2 linked regions of the Rattus norvegicus genome follow. The protein of the gene in region 2 purifies or fractionates together with the protein of the main gene of each other region. This does not show direct contact. Links are inferred from orthologs where the notes say so. Each region holds a gene or a part of one and is shown on either strand. Other genes may lie near its edges.

The links.
Region 1: the proteins of Ewsr1 (region 2) and Ddx17 purify together in Homo sapiens (affinity purification with mass spectrometry; 3 studies listed by BioGRID, with this or other methods). This does not show direct contact. The link is inferred for Rattus norvegicus from reciprocal best matches to the Homo sapiens genes EWSR1 and DDX17.

The regions. Positions count from the first base shown.
Region 1 is NC_086025.1:112,986,939-112,990,975, forward strand, and holds the start of Ddx17 (probable ATP-dependent RNA helicase DDX17), read right to left. Parts: upstream 2,810-4,037; 5' UTR 2,332-2,809; coding exon 2,282-2,331; intron 1-2,281. UniProt on the Homo sapiens protein: As an RNA helicase, unwinds RNA and alters RNA structures through ATP binding and hydrolysis.
Region 2 is NC_086032.1:84,205,296-84,209,314, forward strand, and holds the start of Ewsr1 (RNA-binding protein EWS), read right to left. Parts: upstream 2,801-4,019; 5' UTR 2,765-2,800; coding exon 2,752-2,764; intron 1-2,751. UniProt on the Homo sapiens protein: Binds to ssRNA containing the consensus sequence 5'-AGGUAA-3'. Might normally function as a transcriptional repressor. EWS-fusion-proteins (EFPS) may play a role in the tumorigenic process.

The DNA of each region.
Region 1 (4,037 bases), on a different chromosome or scaffold from region 2:
ACCAGGGTCAACTAATATTTAGTTACAGAGGAAAACAAACCAAAAACCTCACCAACATGTAGGTTACAGGTGTTTGTTTTGTTAATGATTGTATTGAATTGAACATGTGTAATCCTAGCCCTTGAAAGCTGGTGACAAGGTCAGAGCTCAAGGCCAGTTCTGGTCTACAAAGAGACCTGGAGTCAAAACAAAACCCCTTCAAACAAATTTAAATTGTCTTGTCTTTAGATACCGTTTACCACAGATAAGCTAAACAATACAGATATGGCCACTTGCCAAAGCTAAGATGTAAGAAATCAGAAACTACTTTTCCCAGAACAATATAACATAACCTCTAATTTGTCCTATTATAACCTCTTTATTTGTCTTAATCTATGTAGTACAGGGCCTTAAAAAAAACTCATTTCCTTTTTAGTTTTGTTTCTCTGAGACTCTATCATAGCCTTGGCTGTGCTGGAGGCCTAGGCCTCTCTTTCCACCATGCCCTGCAGGACCTCACTCCTGATTCCTTGTAAACCACTAGAGCATTGGAGAAAATTCAATAGTAGCTACTTTAAAGAATGTCAAGACTGGTAATACTGGGAGAGGTAGCAGGAACCCCACAAGACAATAATATTCTCTTCTGTTAGAGCCTGGTGTGGTGGCCTACATCTGTTTCTGAACTCTGGACACTGGCACAGTGAAGACACATTCCAGGTCAACCAGGGCAGACTAAGCTACACAGCACTGAGACAAACCCACCCTGCAATGATTTATGGCCAGAAACGTTTCTGGAATTCATTGGGTATCTACATTCAGTAGGCAGAATTTGGGTGACTTAATACCACTGCTAAAACAACACAACTAGAAAGAAAAATACACAACTGAGTACACCCACCAGACCTTAAGGTCTCAGGCTTTTCAGCTCAATATTACAGTGTCAAGGGCTTCTCATTTGACTGCCTCACTCCACTTGCAAATGAAGTAACAAACAGAATTCTAAAACGTTTCCAAGAAAGTCAGTTCTTTTTCAATCATGCAATAGCCAAGACCCAATCATTAAGAGGTTTTAAGCCTAACTCAAACGAGTGTAATGTGGTTCCTATGTATGTCCACTGTGCTTGCTAGAATCCAAAACTGCTTGCATCTTAATGATCCAGCAGAAAATAAAGCTTCTACAATTAAGATTCTTTTACAAGGCGTTTTCTAACCGAATTTCCTTTTTCTACCACTGCCCCTCACTTTGAACTGTTAACCATTCCCTTGTTTTGAGACAAGATCTGTGTAGCCCAGGCTAGCTTTTAACTCCAAGCTCCTGACTCAGCCTCAAATGCAGGGATTACTGGTATGTGTCACCCCAAGGGGTTCTTTTGGTTTCAACAGCTTGGTTACTTTCAAAGACTTTTTTTCCTTCGAGGTAGGGGCTCCCTGTGTAGTCCTGGGACTCACTACACAGATCAGGCTGGCTTTGAATCTGTTTTGTCTTTGCCTCCTGAGTCGATTTGCCACCACAACTAGCCAAGTTTTCATCGTATCCAAACAAAAAGCACCCAGAGTTTATCTAGACGCGAAGTGTTTCCACTCTCTAGGTGTCAGAAATAAAGCTGGCATAAGCTTTTGGATGTATTGATTCCAGGGCATATATTCAAGGATTTCTCAGGCAACACACCACCAAAAGCTTCGTACGTTAACTAATTAAAAAAACATATAAAGGGGGTTGAGGATTTAGCTCAGTGGTAGAGCGCTTGCCTAGCAAGCGCAAGGCCCTGGGTTCGGTCCCCAGCTCCGAAAAAAAAGAAAAAAAAATAAAAACAAAACTTCTTAGCTTAGGCTTCAAAATCAACTGGATCTTTAAAAGGCAATTTAAAAAGTCACCTGCCTCTTGGCTCTCCCAATTTCGATCTTTTAGAAATCAACTCCAGCACTTCCTATTCCAAACTGCTTCCAGTTAACCAAAATAAGACACAAGGGTAGTAAAACCTAGTTTAGATTCAAAAAGGTCTTTCCGACTCTAGTCCTTCTCTAAAAGGGATGGCTAACATAGCGGAAAGGAAACCATTCAAGGCAGCTTTTCCTAGATGAAAACTGTTCTCCCCATAAGACGCGAGGGCCAGCTTGCAGGTATCAAATGACCAGCGAGCGGGCCAAGAGAGGAGACCAGGCTGGCCTGCCACTTCCGAGCCAGGACCGCGGTCCGCAAAGGCGCCCGCCAGAGCCTGAGGCCCGCGCACTGCCGCCATTGTACGTCCCGAGCCTCAGGCTCTGCGGGCCACCCCGCCCCCCGCCTGCACCTCCCCCTTACCCTCCACGGTCCCGGTCACGATCCCGATCCCCAAAGCCGCCTCCGCGCATGGTCCCAAACGGATAAAGATCTGGGAGTGGGGCACGGATGACCGAGCTCGGGAGGGCTTGCTGCTCTGGTCTAGTGATGACCGATGGCGGCGGCGCCTCCGCTGTTGGGGCGGCGGCAGGCGCGGCGCTGTCTCGCTCCGACGCGCTGTCTCCCGTCGCAGACGCCACCGTCGCCGCCTCTCTCGTCGGAGACGGGAGCAAAACTCAGAGAATCGGGGTTGTTAGTACAGTTGGGAGGTCTGGTCACGCTCAAACCGGGCGGTGCCACGGTTTAGGCGTCTCCTTCCCTTCCCAGCAACTGCACAAAATGGCGGCGGCCGCTGAGACTGCTCCAACTTAACGCTACGCACAGCCGAGACGCTACGTAAACAGCGCCTGGAGGGCTGCGCGCGATGCTACAGACATTCTAGGAATGGCTTTACGCCGGTGACGGAGATGAGTGCTCTTGTTGGTCCACCTAAATAAGGCAGTGTGCGCAACCGGCGTAGCGTTCTCGCGCCGCCAGCTCTAGAACGTTGGGTGGGGGTGGGGCGAGCCGTCGGCACGACGTAACATTGTTTGCGTCGTTGGCCAGCCCACTATTGCGAGGATGCGCAGTCTTCGTAGCGCATTCTGTTTAGAGAATCGACTTATCCCGGCATTCCGAGCTCAAACGACCCTTGATGCCAGCCTTGTGCAGACACAATGGTCGCTTTCCATGTTGCTTTGGTCAGGCTTCGGGGTCTGTGGGCCGTAGAACCCTGAAAGTCTTGAGACCCTCTTGGTTGGCCTCGGCCCCTCGCCCCAGCGCCCTTTGTGCCCCAAGCTAGCCACACGCCCCGGCGCCATTTCCTTCCCGTTGCTTTTTGCCGCGCTGGCGCCGCAGCCATGTTGGATGCATCGTGTCGCTCTCTAAAGCGGGCAACAACCCAGCTAGGCTAAAAGACATCCAGTGTTTCCCGCAGTTCATGTTAAGGTGCCATTTTTCCGTACAGAGTGTTGTCACATTTCCCACTGGCCATAGTTGATGCCTCATACGGAGGCCACACCTTCCCAGAGTCCTTTCTGAGGTGGGCGCTTTGAACCTTAGCCATCATTAAAATGGGTGACTCACACGGGTCCGCGACTGCAGAAACGGTGCGTTTTCTAGGTGAGGATTTGCAAACCCAATCCGGGGAAGGCAGGCTGGGCTAGGCCACGGGTACCACCCAACTCCTAGATTACTTTCTTTGCTTGCCATCCCTGCACACTGCCAAGCCACACAAGCTTGGTCATACTTGCTTTATAAAATTGTGAAACTGCTGTATTCCTTGAGACCTCTAGGCTCATTTCTATAGACGCGGAGAATGGAAGCCTGAAGACTGAGTCTTGTCTCCGGTTCTGAGTGTTGCTTAGCTTATTGAAAGCCCTTGAGAAGCTGTTCATTTGTCATTTGGGCCATAGAGAAAGTCACAGAAATCCATGCATTTCGATAGTTGCTAGGGCACTGGGGAACCAACACATTCCTTTGCTCAGAGCTCTATTCTCTAGAGACGGAGAGGAGACAGATGACAAATGTTTATGTCAGACTCTTTTTTTTAAAGATTTATTTATTTTATGTATGTGAATATACTGTCGCTGTCTTCAGACACACCAGAAGAGGGCATCAGATCCCATTACAGATGGTTGTGAGCCACCATGTAGTTGCTGGGAATTGAACTCAGGACCTCTGGAAGAGCAGTCAGTGC
Region 2 (4,019 bases):
GGGTGATGGGAAGTTCTGAGACAGGATCTAACTACTTAGCTGGATGACCTTAATTAACTATATAGACCAGCCTAGCCTCAAACTTTCTACAGAGCCCATATGGTTCTTACAACCTAAGTGCTGAAATTATAGGTGTGTACCTCCATGCCTACTTGCTACCTTCCTTTTTTGTCTGCCTTTTTTTTTTTTTTTTTTTTTTTGGAGACAGGGTCTCACTATGTAGCTCTGGCTGGCCTCAAACTCTGCCCTCCCCAATCTAGGATTAAACTATGACTGGCTACTTGCCACATTCTTTATATTTAAAAAAAAAAAAAAGGAAAAAGAAAAGAAACACCTGTAAATCACTTCCTTCCATGTAGCATTTGTAAAAATATACCAACATTTAATCCAAATACTACAACCTACATTTTGTTGAGGTTTCTGTGTAAAGATGACTTTTTGAATCATTGGCATTAAGTTCCATGTTTACAAAGACTTACACAAGAGCAGTTATGTAAAACTGGCAATGCTGCTACAGAACAGCTAACCACCTCAGATGAGGGTGCAACCAAAGATCTGGTGGGCTAAGGAAAAGGCAACCACTGCCCCCACCCCAATACAGCACATAAGCCTGCCTCAAACATGACACTGAGGCAACGGTCAGATCACTAGACAATTGAAAAAAATAAAAAGAAGTCCTTAAATGACCAAACATGTAAAGACTTAAAAAGGCAGACTGAGGGGCTATGATGTAGGGTAGGGGCCATCCTAGAATGCCAGTAATGTTTTACTATTTGTTTTGACAGTTATTTAAATACTGTAATTCTGCTTTACTGGACAACCTCTGTAGTTACTATTCTACAAGATACAGGTGAGGGGAAACCATTATTCCTCTAAAGCAATGACTTGCTTCAGGGCCTTCATTAGCCAAACTGAAAAAATTTGAAGGTTTGGGCTACTTAATACATTAAAAAGCTAGCAAGGGTAACTTTGTTGGGACCAAAAAATGTTGCTCTAAGAACTGAAGGGCTCAAGAAAATAATTTTATTTTTTCTGAGACAGGATTGCTCTGTGTAGCCCTGGTTGTTCTCGAACTCAAGAGACCAACCTCTGCCTTCCCAGCCCTGGCACCAAAGGTGTGCGTCACCACTGCCTAAAGTCAATTAAACCTTTTAAAAGGTCTAAAACTAAACTATGTTTTTTCATAGTTTAGACTACCAAAGACTACCAAATCTTAAATAAAGTTCCTTCAACAGGGCCAGGACTGTGGGTGTAGAACAGCACGCTTTTAAACTCGAATTTGGTTCACGGTGCTTATCTGCACTTGCTGATAACAAAGATGACTAAAAAGTGGCAATGATCTATGAAGCAGAAAACCTGCCATTGTTTTCTTGGGCTTTAGAGGCTAAAAGGTCCACGAAAGCATTTTTTCACTAAGATACAGTAGGCTGTAGTAGAATCTCCTATCGTCTCTTGGGGACACTTTGAGTAGCCTGGTACCAAAAGCCACCTGTTTACTAACTACATCGTTTGCTTCGTCAAATTGTGATGCTGGATGCTTTCCTAAGCCAAATGAAGGACCCCAGAGCTTTTCTTGTCTTCCCCCTCGCTTTCTCCTACTGCCTCCAAGGCCACATTTTCAGACCACAGATCCCCCCAGAAGCGAAAACAAACAACCAAAACCCGCCTCCGTGCCAGTTAACTGTGTGCCGAACTGCAGGTGAAGGCTAGGCTACACTTATTCCCTCGTTAAGGACCACAACATCCATCACATCCTCCAGTTCCCGCCGTGGACTTCCCAAGTCCGCTATGGGTCTCTTTTCCCTGCCCTCAATAGGACCAAGAAATAAATCAGCCTGCTAGCTTAATGAGCAGGCCTGTAGAAACGTGGGGGCCGAGGCTTTTCTGTTACTCCTGGAGCAAAGATGCTAGAAATTTCTTTCTGGAAAGATTCTCCTCTCCGGATCCAGACGGACCTTGTTATACAACCAATCCCCCACGCCGTTCGCTGAGAAAGGGACACTGGGAAGCTACTGCTTTTTGGGTAAGGAAGGAGGTGGAGTTAACACATAAAACCGAAGCCTCCGAGTCGGGAGGACGAAGATTTGGGGGCGCCAACTAGGTCTAAAAGACCCAGCAAGCCAGCGCTGGGCTTGAGCTGGGAGCCCTCCAGGGGGCAGCTTGGTAGCGCCGGGCCCGGACAGGCCTGGAGGATAATGGGGCTCCTCATAAGCCGGCGCCCCTCAGCTTACACGTTCGCGACGTTTTTTTGTTTGCTTTTTATCTGAGTTTCTACACAATAAACACTTGCCCCTAGGCTAGCGATAGGAGGAGAGGTGACACGGAAACCGGCCACCGCTTCTCGAGCCGCCATCAGACACCTCGCTTCACGCGCCTTAGGGGTGATGAGGTCCAGGCCCAGCCGCGGTCCCCTTTGGGCCTCAGAGACCGTAGGCCCCGCCCACGTGGCGAGAGACCGGGCGCAGCAGCACCGACAACCGCCACACAAAAGAGGCCAAGACGGGCTCCGCACGCCCCAGCTACCGCGAGGCCCTCGCGCGCAACGCGGGCACCGGAAGGTTCCAGAACCAGTCCGCCTAGTGGGGGGGAGGGGAAGGGAACGCGGACCCCCCGAGCTCGTCGGGCCACGGCGGGAACTCCAACCCCTATCGGCAACTCCACTGAGTCATTCCTGCCACCCCCAGAGACAAGCGCCCCCCAGTTTGAGCGTCCCAGCTGTGGCCGGCGCGACCGCGATCCCACTCCACTTACCCGTGGACGCCATTTTCTCTCCTTCCTCCTCGTTCTCTCAACGTCCGTCTCCCTCTCGCGTTCCCCCTAGGCGCCGCACTGCGCAGGCGCGAAACCCGCAACCTCGGACGCTACCATAGGGCCAGGCCACGGGGGTGGGCGAAGAGAAACGAGCCGGCGATATCCGGCTCTTTGCTCCCGAAACCGTTGACCCAATCCTCTCCAAAGAGCCGGACGTGACGCGTGGTCTAAAAAAGGCACCTCAGGGGTCAGCGCGCTAGTGAGCGAGTGTTCCCAACAAACCCGAGGGATCCTCTGCACGAGGCTTGGTGGCTTGGAATGGTTAGGCCCGCTGGCTCTAGGGACCGTCTCTGAAGAGTCTGCCCTGGAGGGAGACGGAGGCTGGCGGGAGGGCTGGGGGAAGGGATCCCGGCCTGGCACAACTGCTGACTAATCGGCAGGCGGGATCACGCGCCTGTGTGTGCGCGCAGCGGGCTCGGGGCACCTAGGTCTCGGCCTAGTGCGGGCGGCCAGGCTACCGGGCGGGCCCCCCACCTCGGTTTTCCAGGGTGGGTGGGGGTGGGGAGGACGAGCTCCCCAGGACCTTGGACGCGTGGCCTGAGCGGGCGGGGGAGGGGAATGAGGTCCGTCTGCTTGGGAGGGAGGCCGGGAATGCCGCGCCCGACCCCAGTAACGGTCGGAGTCCAGAAGCCCTATAATCATCCATCCTTCAACTCATACCCTTGTCTTAACAGAAAACTCAGGCCCAAGAAATTGAGTACTTCCCCTAGAGTTACAAAGCTGAATCCGACCCAGACCCCGGGACTCCCCTCTCTGTGCTCCACCCGGAAGCTTCTCCACTGTCCTTGATTTCCCATTCTGTCCTCCTGGCTTCCCAGTAAGGTAGGCAGGGTGTGACGATGCATAGCTCTGAGAGGTCTCTGACCAGGGTTCCAGAAGGACACTGAGGCCGATTGTTGGCGAGCGGGTTTCTTTTTTTTTTTTTTTTTTTTTTTAATCTTAAGAGTCACTGACACGGTGGACAAACACAGACAAACATTAGCATGGCATGGCGGGCGAGGACTCTGAAGAAACCAGGGTCCATGTGGGAGAAGTAGGCGTGTCACGCCTTTCTGAGGATGGGCGTGGTTTCACCGCTGAAGCTTATGGCTGGCGGCAGGAATGGAAGGGAGCGGGGAGCCGGATGTGTAGCCGCCAGTTTCCCATTTGATGTAAAATCACCTCCTTCAGGTGAGAGATCCAGGCACCCGCGTCTGTTAGCTAACGAC